Linked DNA regions of Xenopus tropicalis. The protein of the gene in region 1 purifies or fractionates together with the protein of each later gene. This does not show direct contact. Links are inferred from orthologs where the notes say so. Each region holds a gene or a part of one and is shown on either strand. Other genes may lie near its edges.

Region 1 (2,925 bases):
CTCAGGGACCAGTTTACCTGACTGTTTTGGGAGTGTGGGAGGTAATGGAATAAAGGAAACCTGTGCAAGCATGGAGAAAACATAACCTCAAATTTTTCTTTTGTAAGAAGTTTGCAAACTTCAGTACCTGGATTTCTGCATTACTCACATTATCTGGTTTTCAGCTATATATAGTTATTGATAAGTCTAATTACAGCACCCAGTTACAGTATTTACTGTTTCAAAGTAAACATCTGGCCGCTATGGGTTACTCTACCTGTACATATGTTGTGCCATTTATGAAAAATGAGGCGTAACTTGCTTAAACTAAACATAAATTGTTTATATAGTCTTTGGTTGTGCCATGGCATCTCTATTGGATTGAGATTTGGGCTCTTTGCCATTCCAGAACACAAGTTTTCTTCTGTTGCAAATTCAAAGCATATGTGTGATAAATGCAGACATTCAGGTAATGGTTGGTAATTTACAGTTGCAGGAATACTTTCACTATAGTTTGCTGGCTCTTTAAGACTGTACAGAAGGAAGGAGTATTATAAAATGGCTTCTACTGTGACAGTAGCTGTCAGCATTTTGGCCCACAGCTGGGAAACATGGCATTCTAGAAGTTATTTTTACCATCTGCATTCTGTCTCTAGGTTGTAGAATTAATCTAATCATGAGTGATGTGAATGCAATATGAAATTGAAACATCACAAGGCAGTAATGTGGTTCTTCAGGCACCCATATTGCTTATGTTAGGTGTCTTGTTCCTTGGAGGTCTTGCCTGTATATGGGTGTCTAAGACTTATGCATGCATTTTCTTATTTGAAGGTTTCTTGTACTCAGCCTGAGAGCAGTGTGAAGCCAAATGCGGAGGACATGACATCAAAAGATTACTACTTTGACTCGTATGCTCACTTTGGCATCCATGAGGTAAGTTAACCCCTGCGTAGACTAATATTTTAAAGATAACTGTCCATGAGTTTTTCTGATCCATTTTCTTTCTGCAGGAGATGTTAAAAGATGAAGTTCGAACGCTGACATATCGTAACTCAATGTTTCACAACAGACATCTATTTAAAGATAAAGTAGTCTTGGATGTTGGGAGTGGCACGGGTATTCTCTGCATGTTTGCAGCAAAGGCTGGTGCCAAGAAAGTTATTGGGGTAAGATAAAAACCTCTACCCCATGGGGTTGCGATTTAGAAACGCTGAGTTTTTTTTTTAGGCATGTTCCCTGATGCATCCAGCTCTACTAGCTAGTAGGTGGTATAGAAGTTTGTCCTCTTACATTCCCCTGACTGGTGCTTGGTAGTGTGCACCATATATCTGAATATTTCTTATCATAGTCCCTTTCCTGCAGGTGCTGTGATGCAGTATTTTTAATATAGCGTATATTAGACACTGACACAAGAATTTAAACCCTTCTTTAAAACAGGACATTCTTTGCATGCATTAATAATTTTGCCATAGAAGTGTTTGCCCAGTGCTTTTACATTACACAGCCAATCCCCATTTTCCATTGAGGGGGCTGCCATTTATGCAGCAGTAGGAGTCAGTTGGCATTAGAAGCTATAACTGACAGGTTGAGAAGGGACAGTCAGGTTGGCAAAACACATTTAGGAACATCAAGTACTTAAAAATGATCAGCATTGCCTGTAACTTATGTACATTAATTGAGGAGTAATTTTGTCTGTATCCATTTAAGTTTAGGGGGGGAGGAATGTTGAGGCAGAGAGGGGGTAAGTGGGTTGGATACATACAATTGTATTTGTTTAAATCTTCTCAACTAACACTACATTCTTTTTCACTTAGATTGAGTGCTCAAGTATATCTGACTATGCCATAAAAATCGTGAAGGCAAATAAACTAGATCATGGTAGGTAACAACACGGTTGTCTTAAGTGCATTACTGTTTCCATCTAGACTGCATTCTAACCACTTATTATTCTCCTTTAGTGGTTACAATCATCAAAGGCAAAGTAGAAGAGGTGGAGCTCCCAGTAGAAAAAGTGGACATCATAATCAGTGAATGGATGGGATATTGTCTGTTCTATGAATCAATGCTGAACACTGTTATCTATGCACGGGATAAATGGCTGGTAAGTTCGCAAGAAGTGTCAAGAACGAGTATCTTGTATTTAAAAATGTAAACAGTTTGTTGGATTTGATTGTGCCAATGGTGCTAAGGCTCTCTGCATTGTTGTACCTAATACAACAATGCTAATGACATTACATCAGCTATTACTGGGTTTACACCAGTGATAGCTGGATGTAATGTAACCTTGTATATACACTTGCTAAGGAAATGTATACTTTAGTTGAAATGCCAGAAGTTTTTTTTTTAATGCCATGTGCTTCTATGTACTTGCATATCTTTCAGACTCCAGATGGGTTAATATTTCCAGATCGTGCTACACTGTATGTAACTGCTATTGAGGATAGACAATACAAAGACTACAAAATTCACTGTAAGTCTTATTTGCTGCTTTGGTGCCAGTTTTGAGTTAAAGCAAATCCATGCATGTGAAAGCCCAGTGGCATCTCTTCCTATATGTGTGTTTAATATACCAGATTTCAGTGTGACTGGTGTAAGTGCCGATGTGTTGCATGGTACAAATTTCCATCATTCCCAGCTATAATAAGTATTGGCACTGTTATGGAGATGAATGGAAATGCAGCTGGGCAGACTTAGATTATGTATTCCTTAAATATATAACTGCACTGGTCAAAGTTCTGCCTAACCACTTCATTTCTATGGTTAAAGCCCATTTTTATATTTAGACTTTTTTAGTCAGTTCAAAGTTAGTTCTTGCTATGCATTAATGTATGGCCTTCTACTGTGCCCCCAAAACTTTGTAACTTGTTTAAAACCAGTCCAGAACTGCTTTGAAAAGGGGTTTAACTGCCTCAACACAATTTGTCATGTACTTTGCTTCCACAGTAA
Region 2 (3,520 bases), on another chromosome or scaffold:
CTCATTAATTTGCTTAAGCAATTAAAGCTGTTTTTCATAATTCACCAGTCATACCAAGTAAGAAATTGATTAAGGGCTACACAGATCTTACAAGCCCCAGGATGAAAAAGCGGACTCGCTCTCCCAAATTTTTGCTGTATTTTAATGCTAGTCAAATAGTGTGTGCCTGATAGTGGTTAAACCTAGACCCAAACAACAGTCTACAGTTCTGGAGGCCTTGGCCAACCAATTGCAGCAATTGGCCAACCAATTGCAGCAACACTGTCTCATTTTTTAGGTTCCTTACGGATGCTGGGTCATAAACAAAACCAGTGATGTGGAGAACTAAAACAATTTGCAATCTGATCAATGACAAGGTTGCCCAACTATGTCTGGGTCACATTGGGAGAGTTTGCTGGCTGACACACAAGCTGGAGACCCATACTTCTAAAATTTAAGAAAGGACTGCTGATATTATAATGATTTTTAAACTGTAGGAACCTAAAGAGATTGCCAATCTCACTTCTCTACTTTTCTCACTCCTACCTCTATAATTTCCTTTGTCTCTTTTTTTTTTCTTTTTTTCCCAACTAGTCCAAAAATCCAAATGTGTTCTTGTCAGAATTGCCTCTTATCCTTTTTCTTTTTCATCCATGCATTCTTGTTTTTCTTTAGATGCTGCACCTATGAGGGCCAATACAGGCTGTAACCCTCCTGCTTATGGTGGAGGTGCCCAATGGGAACGTGGAGCTAATCTGAAAGATTATTATGCTAAGAGGGATGAACAGGAGGCTCAGGCTGTAAGATTTTATTATACTATATAAGAAGTTTAGAAATTTCAGGTCTTGTTTATGAAATGCATTTTTGCAATTAAGCATCTATCTTAGTAATTCAGGCCCATTGTGTCCAAATATGTCACATTTACTGTAGATTTAATAGAACTGGATTTTCAGCTAAACGCAGCCTGCTCTTGAGGATGGCTTCTACAATGTTTTGTGTAACTGTGTGGGGCATGCCATGTAGGCTGTATGGCTTTTAATTTTTTGAAAGGCTGCAATACAATACATACCAAACTCCTTCAGCAGACCTGCTGTGAATTTCTATTTCTATTACAGCAGTGGTTTTTAGAACTTAAATTGGTCCAAGATCAACCTGAGGTCCTATATTTCAGAAGGGGCCCCCGTAAATCACAAAAGGGTTACATATATATGGACACATTGTGGTAATAGCCGTTTTAGCAGTAGCTCCAAAGATAATTAGAACTTAATAGAATAAATATTGTTTTCTAAGGACCCTCAAGTTAAGCTTTCAGAAATATTTAGAAGAGCCAAAATAAATATAAAAAAGGTAATATAAATAGCCATCCCCTCCATATCTCAACATAAATGGCATGCCCAATGCTCATTCCTAAAAATTTGAGGTTTCTTTCCATTAACCTGTCTTGAAGTTATTTAGAAAATAAGCCGTAATAAAATCTCCCACACCTTTTTTGTGTAGACTCTAGAATCTGAAGAAGTTGATTTGAATGCTGGCTTGCATGGAAACTGGACCCTTGAAAATGCAAAGGCACGTCTCAATCAATTCTTCCAGAAAGAGAAGACACAAGGGGAATACAAGTATTCACAAGTGGGGCCTGATCACAACAGGTTGGTGTGCATGGCTTGGCTCATTTTGGTAGTTTCTTGTGTAGTTGGAAGCATAGAAGGGTAACAAGAAGAGCATTAAATATTTTTCAATGTTTCTCCTACATTCTAAAGTAGTTTTAAATTATACCATTCCTAATAGTAGGTTAGACTTTATTTATACAGTCAGAAGCAAATTACGAGTGAAAGCTGCAGATCGGGTATTATCTTTTCTTAAGCTAGCATTATTTATACAGTTACATTTTTGTGTGTGTAGAAAAGGGACTAAATGTTTTAATTCACAAATATCTAGTAAGAGATAAAGGGGAAATATATCCCTAATTTTATTCAGTTGGGCTTATGTATTTGATTGACTTCAATCGCCTACCTTTTACCCCGGGCTGGTGCCCCTGTTAGGAGAGAACCGCACCAGCCCGGGGTAGCTGCCAGCACTTCCTCGTTCCTGTCTTGCCGCGCGAGCATGCGCAGTAGAGTGAAAAGCCGAGCTTTAACAGAGAAGTCGACTTTTCACTCTACTGCGCATGCGATTGTCCGGGACATTTGGCAGCAGCGCAAGTTGGAAGGAGGAAGCGTTCTTTTCTCCTAACAGGGGCACCAGCCCGGGGTACAAGGTAGGCGATTTAAGGTACAGTGACTTTGCCTTTCCTTCTCCTTTAATACTGTTTTGCCTTTGACCTTTACCTAATCATTACATAACAAGAGGGAAAAGTAAGACCAAAGCCAATATGTGCTAAATTTTGACTGCAGTAGTCCTTACGTATTTGCTGTGTGTTTTTGAAAATTGGAAATTGACTAGCTGTTATACAGTTATTTGTGTTTCTCAGCCAGCTGTTAAAGAACAGAGCATTACAGAGAGTATTAAACTTACTCCCAGTAAAGCTCGTATATGAAAAAATTCTTGTGGAATGGGTTTATTCAAATGCTTATGTTACAGTGTGTTACTAATTTGTGTCTTTGGAAATTGTTACAATTTGCTGAAATTAGAATTAAAGAGTAGAGGCTGTGACACCAGGAATCTCTTCTTAACACATGGGGTGGAGTTTAGGCTGTACTAAGCTATCCCATGTGAAGTCTGTTACTGACTACTGAATCCTGGTGTCACTCTCTCCAGGTGACCAAAAAGGCCGGCTGAGAAACACATTCACAGGCTGCTAGGGCGTGTTCTGCAGGTCAGTGTCTTCTGAGCTTATTCTAGTTTTATAAAGTAATGCAATCTTGAATAACATGATGCTAAGATCTTATCTTTTGGAGGGCTGGAATTAAGGGAGAAGGGATTTTTGTTGTAGCGGAAATATTGTGCCTCAACTTGAGAGGAATAATTTACAGTTCCAACCTGTCACCATTTTGCTGTTTTTGAGCAAACCCCAGCACTCCTGATAATCTTTGAAAATCAATAGGATGTTTTGAAGTACTGTAACGACAGCATACTGGTTTACCCCCTTTATATACTACCAGTTTAATACACAATTTGGTCAGTGGTCTCTTCAAAAATTAGGGGTCCGGGTCCTCATTATTCTATCCTAAAACCAGCCCTTAAACTATCATAACCTGACATATTTGCCTTTACTGGGTAATATATGAATTTAATAAACCATTCCTCCAGCTTTAATATTTGGACCTTGTACTCTGGATTACAATAAGATAACTATCTAGAACAGGATTGTCACAGTTGGAAATCTTTGTTTGGACATGCTGACAAATGTAATTTACCATCTGTAAACATAATTCAGTATCATGCATGTTCACCGCCAGCAGTGGAAACACAGATAGAGGCCAGAAGCAACCAGTTCTTTTGTGTGCAGTATATGAATGGCATCAGCCTGTCATTGTGTACATGAACATTTTCTGCAAAAATCAGCTCCCATTTGCACAGTGACAGGCTGATGCTATTCATATCA
Region 3 (3,520 bases), on another chromosome or scaffold:
ATGTACAAAAAAAAAAAATTCAACCCAGAAAGCAACTAAACAAAATAAATGGGAATAACCCAAACAAAAGTAATAAAGAACCCGCAGGCACTTCCTCTTGTGGAATGTTTGTTTTTTGTTTAAAAGTTAGCCTAAAGAAAAACAGTCGACTTCTTGTGAAGGTTTTGAAGAGAAATATGTATCAGTTCATTTTTATTTGGGTATTCAATAATATCCTTGGTGGTACTGCTGGCTCCATGGCTTTTGACCCCAGTATTGCTGCAATTAGAAAAAGGGGTAAATATTAACATGTTAACAAGCTTTTAAGCTTATTTGCCAACAAGAACTGCTTAGGTCATGTGTAACATTTGATTAAGTTTCATCCCACTACTTTAACCTAGGAGCCCAATCCAGACTTAATTCCAAGAAGTTCAAGTAGTAATAAAATTGATCCTATGTAACTTACGGCAAAAGATTTTATAGGAATATGGCCAAAGCTGGAGGCAAATGTCTGTGTGTTAGAGTAGCTCAGTGAAATAAAAAAAAATTAAAAAAAAATATAGGGTGCAAAAAGGGAAAAAAAGTTTGCAAGTCATTAAGCAATTTCAGTGAGAGATACTTACACCCTGCTGCTGCCACTGGTTGTAACCCTGAGACTGATTTTTGAAGCCACGATTATTTCCCCTTCCTCTGAAGTTCTGCAGAGAAAATTCTAGGTCAATAAACTGCAATGCAGAGTTTCTCAATTAAGATATTTAGCAACCAAATTCCCCCCTTGTTTCCTAAAACATGGCACAAAGAAAGATGGGAGGGGACAATTAAAACTTAATATAAAGTTTTACCTGGTTGTAGTTGCCACGGCTGGGCATTCCACCGCCCCCGCCACGGTTGAAGTTTCCACGGTTACCATAGCCACCTCTGTTAGGATAGACTGGTGCACGGGGGTATGGATACCCAACGGCACCACCGCCTCCACCACCACGCTGGGGCATATTTCCTCTTCGGTTGTATCCTCCACGGTTTCCTGGAGCTACAAGATAGTTAGTTATTAAATTTATGCCTAATGGTTTAAAATTTAGCGGTGAGCACAACTTTTCCCTTTTTTGTTAGTTTGCACAGAAGCAGTGGTAAGCGTCATGTTGTAACCCCCACCCTTTCCAGCTACAGTCAGGTGATCCCAATGAGCCAATAAAAGGGCAACCATTTGGGTGTTTTAATGAATCAGATAAAAGCAAGTGTAGGACTGCCCAGACCATGGATGACCGACATAGTTGGCCAGCTGGATGTATATTGCAGTATATGGACAAACAATCCCTGTTGCTTAAAGGGGAGGGCATCTCTCTCTCAAGAGGACCTCTTGTTGTGGTCACAGCTTCACTGAACCCCTGCCTAAATATTTAAGGTGGTTTTGACAAAGGTCAATGAACAAATTCTGAAACTAAGTCATCTTTGATATGTTTGCCTCAGCCCTCTTTACTAAATGTATACAATATTCTGTACAACTACATGGTGCAAACATACCTCCACCCCTGAAATTTCCTCCACGCATATTGTATCCTCCACCTCCCCGGCCTCTGTGTCCATGACCGTGAGACATACCACCTCTGCCTTTGGTATTTTTGTTCTTGTTTGGTTTCTTTGCTCCAATGTTTTGTTTTTTCTCTGGTGGAAGGGACGTCTTACTCTCCTCCTTATACTGCTCAATAAGTTTATCAGCATCTTCCTTTTGCAACTCCACATAACTGATTTCATCAAAGCACTCACTTGCTTCTGGAAGAGTAAAGTTACCTGAGAGGGAAAAAAAAAAATGTGCTCTATCAGGGGCCATCATATTAGCACCATATCAGAATGGTTGTTACAAAGTAAAGTAGAAATTAGAGACCAATAACAAGTTTGTGTCAGATCATAGCATAGAAGCCATAAGCTCTGAAAAACTGCCTTGCGAAGAGGCTCAATGGCGATCAAGAACATGGAAATCTACTTACCTTTCATTTTGAGAACTGCATGTTCTGGAAGATCTTTGCCTTCCACCTCAGATTTTTTCTGTGTTCTCTCTTTATATAACTCGTCTGTTGGGCAAACAACAACTGCTTTGCGTTGGAAGCCAGCAAACAAGCACATTTTCCTTCTCTGTGCAGCTACTGACACATTTGTCTGCAAAAGAGAAAAGAAATGTCAAACAAAAAAATGTTAACTTTAGGAAGGCAAAGCTGGAACACTTTGCACCACTCAACACAAGAAACAAATCAGTTTGATAGTGTATGTACACACACACTACAGCTTAAACCTGATGAAAGGCAGAGGGGCCTTGTATGATTACAAATAGATTTTGCTGTTCTGGTTATTATTAGAAAACTATTAAGGCACCTTAGTAGCCTTATGGCAGGGTGCTCCATTTTGTATAAAGACTCCCTGGTGCTAAGTATTTTGTACAATATATTCCACACCTGTACTTAAAATACTGCATTTAAAGGTTAGAAAGCTCAAGGTGTCTTAATTACTATAGCTTATATTTCAGTTATAAGTTTTATACAAAGTGAGGTAAAATGGACTTATTTCTATTGAAAAAAAAAAAGCCCTGTATGCTGAAAGCAAGGTTTGTTATTGTATTAATAATTATCATATTAACATGTGAAATTATGGATCACTTTAAAGAATTGTTTGCCTTTAAAATATTTTCACTCCCACTGTTTTCTAATAGATCAGAAATAACTTGACATTCTAATACTAAAATTTAAAGTTTCATTTTTCACCTTTTGAATAATTCCTTTACTTATGCAAAAACTTCAGATTTTTTTTAAATTGTTACAATATGCTACATTAGTTAATAACATTTCTAATTACCAACCTCAATTACTGAGGTTCTTCTGAGAAAAGGTTAACTTGTATTTTACTTCTATAGACTATGGTAAGTTTTCTGAAATTTTTACTAGCCAACGGTAAATATACAATTTATTTATATTTAAAAGCATACATGACTAAAATTAATTATATTTTTTATTTAACAAAATATAGAAGACAGCAGGTTTCTAAACAAAGTTTAACAATTGCCTGAAAGCAGAAAACACTGCCGGTCAAGGTATGTCTCTCTAAGGCCCTGTATAAAAATGGCAATATAAATAATATATATATATATATATATATAAAAAAAAAACTTACCTGATCCAAGATAAAATGCCTTTTTTTGCGAGCAGCAATCTCAATAAATTTGCTTAGGCACTGTGGGGCCCTCTGCAGCAAAGCATTTAACTTTCCAGTGTCAGACATTTGCTTTTTGCAGCCAACCTACAAAGAAAAGGGTTTTAAAGTAAAAATGTCAAGAAAAAAAAAAAAAAAAAAAGGTTAACATACCAAAATTATATATTAGGATTCTTACCGTCATCTTTTCCATAATAGTGTTCGTTCCAAGTATGTTGTATTTGCCAGGGTTTTGTTCAGTATGATTAGTTACCCATGTTGTTTTTCCAGCACCTGGCAAGCCAATCATCATTATAACCTTTAAAAAAAAAAAAAACATATTTGCTCTGAATGTAATAAATGT
Region 4 (3,520 bases), on another chromosome or scaffold:
GCACAAGGGGATCTGGTCACTACAGATTGTCTCATGGTTCAGACTTTAGTTACTTCTGCTCTATTTGTTCAGTGAGATTGATAGATCCTAATTTTATTGGTATTTATTTTGGTTTTTGAAACTTAGCACAAGGCGCTGCACTTCCCACCCTAGGCTTGTACTCGAATCAATAAATGTTTCCAGTTTTCTTAGGTAAAATTAGGTACCTTGGCTTATATTCGGAACGGCATATAATCGAGTATATACGGTACATGACCCTGCAACCTGCACCCGGCCTGAAACTGCTTCTGGGAGCAGGCAAAAGTTTAAAATTCTTCAAGCGAAGGGGCAAATTCTTGGCTTGTGTTTATCCACAAGCTGAGAATTTGCTCCGTGTGGCATTAGCCTATAGGCATTTCAGCAACCTGTAATTGCCTCCCATCCACCTAAATAGAAAAATATAGGTAATACAGGTCTGTATGCTTTTTAGCATACATATATATATTGAGAAAGGTCCCGATGGGGACCGAAATGTAACATTGGCTGTTCATGCGTTTTTAATACACAATTGACTGTTTTTGGAATATAACTCGGTGTTGCTGGTCTTTTTTGGATATTTTAAATCATTTACCTTGCACCCGAGCTAAGAGCTGAAGCAGAATGCCACCCTGGGTTTGATATATATATATATATATATATTATATAAATAACACACAGTACTATGAACACGCTGATCCTTCCAGTTGCTGCAAAGTTATCTTATTCAGATTAGAAGGGTGTTTCATCTTGACATGTGCAAAAGCTGTTTTTTTTTTTTTTATAGTTAGTGTAAAAGTCTCTTACCGTATATACTCAAGTATAAGCCGAGTTTTTCAGCACCAAAAATGTGCTAAAAAAGTCGACCTCGGCTTATACTCGAGTAATATAGATTTGAAGATGGCAATCCCTGCACACGCACGTATAACAAGTCCCACTGCCTGCATTGTATTGTGTTATTTGCGTGCGTGTGTACGCACATTCGCGCTCGCCGGCTTCATGCACTGGAAGGACATTATGGGAGTGTACACAGCGTGGGTTACCCCTTCTCCTCGCAGCTATAGGTAAGAAATATATAAATCCTAACTGGGCTAAATATGGTTTCCTCCTCTCCCCTTCAAAGCCACCGGCCTATGCTGGACGGCCTCTCAGTATACAGATGAACCAGGGGGCTTGTGGGCTTTATAGGTGGCTACAGAGGATCGGGTGGAACCCGAGCAATACAAAAATTGGTGCAATGACCATTATAATTCCCAGCATTTTGCAAGCTGTGCCCTCTAAGCCATGTAATGGTCTCAGGAGTCAGAACCGCAGTGAAGGTGTCTCAGTATACAGATGAGCCAGGGGGCCTGAAGGACAAGGAGTAAGTTAACTGTTGTAGCTATGTTATGAGAACAGAGGCCAATATTTTCTAGCACATAATGCTGCCACTCAGTGTATATATGATATTTACCAAAACTTGCCAGTTGCTTGGATTTCCATCTTATCATTACTATCATTACTTAGTATGGCAGCTTCCTTAGCCTTCCCAAACTTGCCTGACAGTAAAAAAAAAAAAAAAAAAACAACTTAGCAGTAGCGGCTGCATTTCCCCTAGGCTTATACTAGAGTCGATAAGTTTTTCCAGTTTTCTTAGGTAAAATTAGGTACCTCGGCTTATATTCGGATCGGCTTATACTCGAGTATATACGGTACTCAAGTTGTACAGGTATGGGACCTGTTTTCCAGAATGCTTGGGACCTGAGGTCTTCTGGATAAGGAATCTTTACGTAATTTGGATCTCTATACTTTGTATATTAAATTATTTAAGCATAATTAAACCCAATACAATTGTTTTGCCTCCAATAAGAATTAATTATAATTAAGAAATAGTTCCAAATCCTTTTCTATCATGTTAGTTGAATAAAATAAACTTTATACATTATTTTTTTTCCCCTTCAGTCCTGGAATTTACAATCACAGCCAGCAGGCTGGCGCCATTTTAAGGCAAAGCTTTGTGTCACCCCAAAATCTCTACATTTGCCATCTAGGTGATATCGAGGAAGGGCTGAATGGAAAGTTAAAGCAATAGTAATTAAAAATCTGAGCTGTCAATCATATATTGCCTGGGGCAGGCAATATATGATTGACAGGTCAGACTTTTAAATACATTTATAACCGGTATGGGTGATTTAATTAAAAAAAGAACTTTGGTTGCATGTTTAATTTTTAAAGGACTTTTATTATGTAGCTTTTTTTATGTGTGGGTGACAGGTCCCCTTTTAATAAGACATAATAAACTTGTTTCACATAGCACCAACCATTCAAGTTTTTGCTGCGCTACTACCATTAATACGGGTATGGTCTTAAAAGCTCTTGTGACTACATGGGTGTAGTTTGAAGTGGGTGGTCAAAACTGGCTTCCATTCTGAGCCCTCGGTACCACAGAAGTTGTACAACACTGGAGAAGAGCCTTTGTCTCTTTCTGCTCTGCTGGTTGTCTAGGGGCTGGAGGTGCCATAGATTGTAAACCTGCCACACATCATAAACTTTACCCTCTGTGGAAGTTAAGAGGGAAAGCCATTTTTCATTAGATCATTAAACTATCCATGGCTACTGTAGACCCATAAATAAATACAGATATGGAATGCCTTCCACATTCATCTTCTACAAAAGTTCAACAAAACTTCAACACATATCCATAGCTACTTCTGCAAGTTTTGTAGAAGATGAATGTTAATTCTTATAAAACAAGATATGGTTTTCGGTAGTACTGCATTGTACTTGTACTTTTAACAACTCAAAGACGATTCCTGTTTTTTTTTTATTTTTTGTTCTAGTTCGATCATTTGGGACAGAGGACCGGCCAACTGACCGACCTATACCTCCCCGGGATGAAGTATTTGAATATATTATTTTCAGAGGAAGTGATATTAAAGACCTTACAGTCTGTGAGCCACCCAAACCTCAGTGTTCCTTGCCTCAGGATCCTGCTATTGTCCAGGTATCTGGTTAACCCCAATGTTAAAAGATGGAGAACTATAAGAGTGTATTTTATTATATCTCAATTTTATTATTGTTAAGCCTTCTAATAATTTGTTTTAAAGTAGATACTTGAAGTATTGAACATTTTATGTATATGAGCCCTCTGGTGTTATAAAAGTATACCTGTGACTTATAAAGATATTTTAAAAATGCCTTCTACTACAAATGTGAAAAGGTACAAAATTGGCTCAGTATGTAATTTTTTTGTTTTCTAGAGGAATAAGTGGCTTGAATTCTGCTTTTTAACTTCTGTTGTTTTTTCCTCTCTTAAAGGAGAATGCAAGTCAAAATTTAAAAAGCATACTGCCCAATAGTCCTCCTATTTAGTAAAAACGCCACACTTTTGGCTCACCTAATGAAATATTTACTCAGTCACACTTACTTCACATTTTCTAGAACAGGCAGCCATCTCTAAAAAGGTATTCTCCCTTCCTTTCCCTCCTTGCTTCATACTGCACATGTGTTTCATTCCCTCCCCCCT

What was found. The genes of interacting proteins can lie anywhere in the genome.
Region 2: the proteins of prmt1 (region 1) and dhx9 purify together in Homo sapiens (affinity purification with mass spectrometry; 3 studies listed by BioGRID and IntAct, with this or other methods). This does not show direct contact. The link is inferred for Xenopus tropicalis from reciprocal best matches to the Homo sapiens genes PRMT1 and DHX9.
Region 3: the proteins of prmt1 (region 1) and hnrnpu purify together in Homo sapiens (affinity purification with mass spectrometry; 4 studies listed by BioGRID and IntAct, with this or other methods). This does not show direct contact. The link is inferred for Xenopus tropicalis from reciprocal best matches to the Homo sapiens genes PRMT1 and HNRNPU.
Region 4: the proteins of prmt1 (region 1) and lsm14a purify together in Homo sapiens (affinity purification with mass spectrometry; 3 studies listed by BioGRID and IntAct, with this or other methods). This does not show direct contact. The link is inferred for Xenopus tropicalis from reciprocal best matches to the Homo sapiens genes PRMT1 and LSM14A.

The regions. Positions count from the first base shown.
Region 1 is NC_030683.2:111,009,015-111,011,939, forward strand, and holds part of prmt1 (protein arginine N-methyltransferase 1), read left to right. Parts: intron 1-810; coding exon 811-912; intron 913-989; coding exon 990-1,145; intron 1,146-1,793; coding exon 1,794-1,857; intron 1,858-1,937; coding exon 1,938-2,080; intron 2,081-2,361; coding exon 2,362-2,449; intron 2,450-2,925. UniProt on the Homo sapiens protein: Arginine methyltransferase that methylates (mono and asymmetric dimethylation) the guanidino nitrogens of arginyl residues present in proteins such as ESR1, histone H2, H3 and H4, FMR1, ILF3, HNRNPA1, HNRNPD, NFATC2IP, SUPT5H, TAF15, EWS, HABP4, SERBP1, RBM15, FOXO1, CHTOP, MAP3K5/ASK1, MICU1 and NPRL2.
Region 2 is NC_030680.2:100,161,183-100,164,702, reverse strand, and holds part of dhx9 (ATP-dependent RNA helicase A), read left to right. Parts: intron 1-654; coding exon 655-779; intron 780-1,476; coding exon 1,477-1,625; intron 1,626-2,733; exon of another isoform or gene 2,734-2,791; intron 2,792-3,520. UniProt on the Homo sapiens protein: Multifunctional ATP-dependent nucleic acid helicase that unwinds DNA and RNA in a 3' to 5' direction and that plays important roles in many processes, such as DNA replication, transcriptional activation, post-transcriptional RNA regulation, mRNA translation and RNA-mediated gene silencing.
Region 3 is NC_030681.2:44,496,457-44,499,976, forward strand, and holds part of hnrnpu (heterogeneous nuclear ribonucleoprotein U), read right to left. Parts: intron 3,476-3,520; coding exon 3,356-3,475; intron 3,265-3,355; coding exon 3,139-3,264; intron 2,134-3,138; coding exon 1,965-2,133; intron 1,768-1,964; coding exon 1,501-1,767; intron 1,010-1,500; coding exon 822-1,009; intron 678-821; coding exon 603-677; intron 259-602; coding exon 205-258; 3' UTR 1-204. UniProt on the Homo sapiens protein: DNA- and RNA-binding protein involved in several cellular processes such as nuclear chromatin organization, telomere-length regulation, transcription, mRNA alternative splicing and stability, Xist-mediated transcriptional silencing and mitotic cell progression.
Region 4 is NC_030680.2:67,701,828-67,705,347, reverse strand, and holds part of lsm14a (protein LSM14 homolog A), read left to right. Parts: intron 1-2,834; coding exon 2,835-2,998; intron 2,999-3,520. UniProt on the Homo sapiens protein: Essential for formation of P-bodies, cytoplasmic structures that provide storage sites for translationally inactive mRNAs and protect them from degradation. Acts as a repressor of mRNA translation. May play a role in mitotic spindle assembly.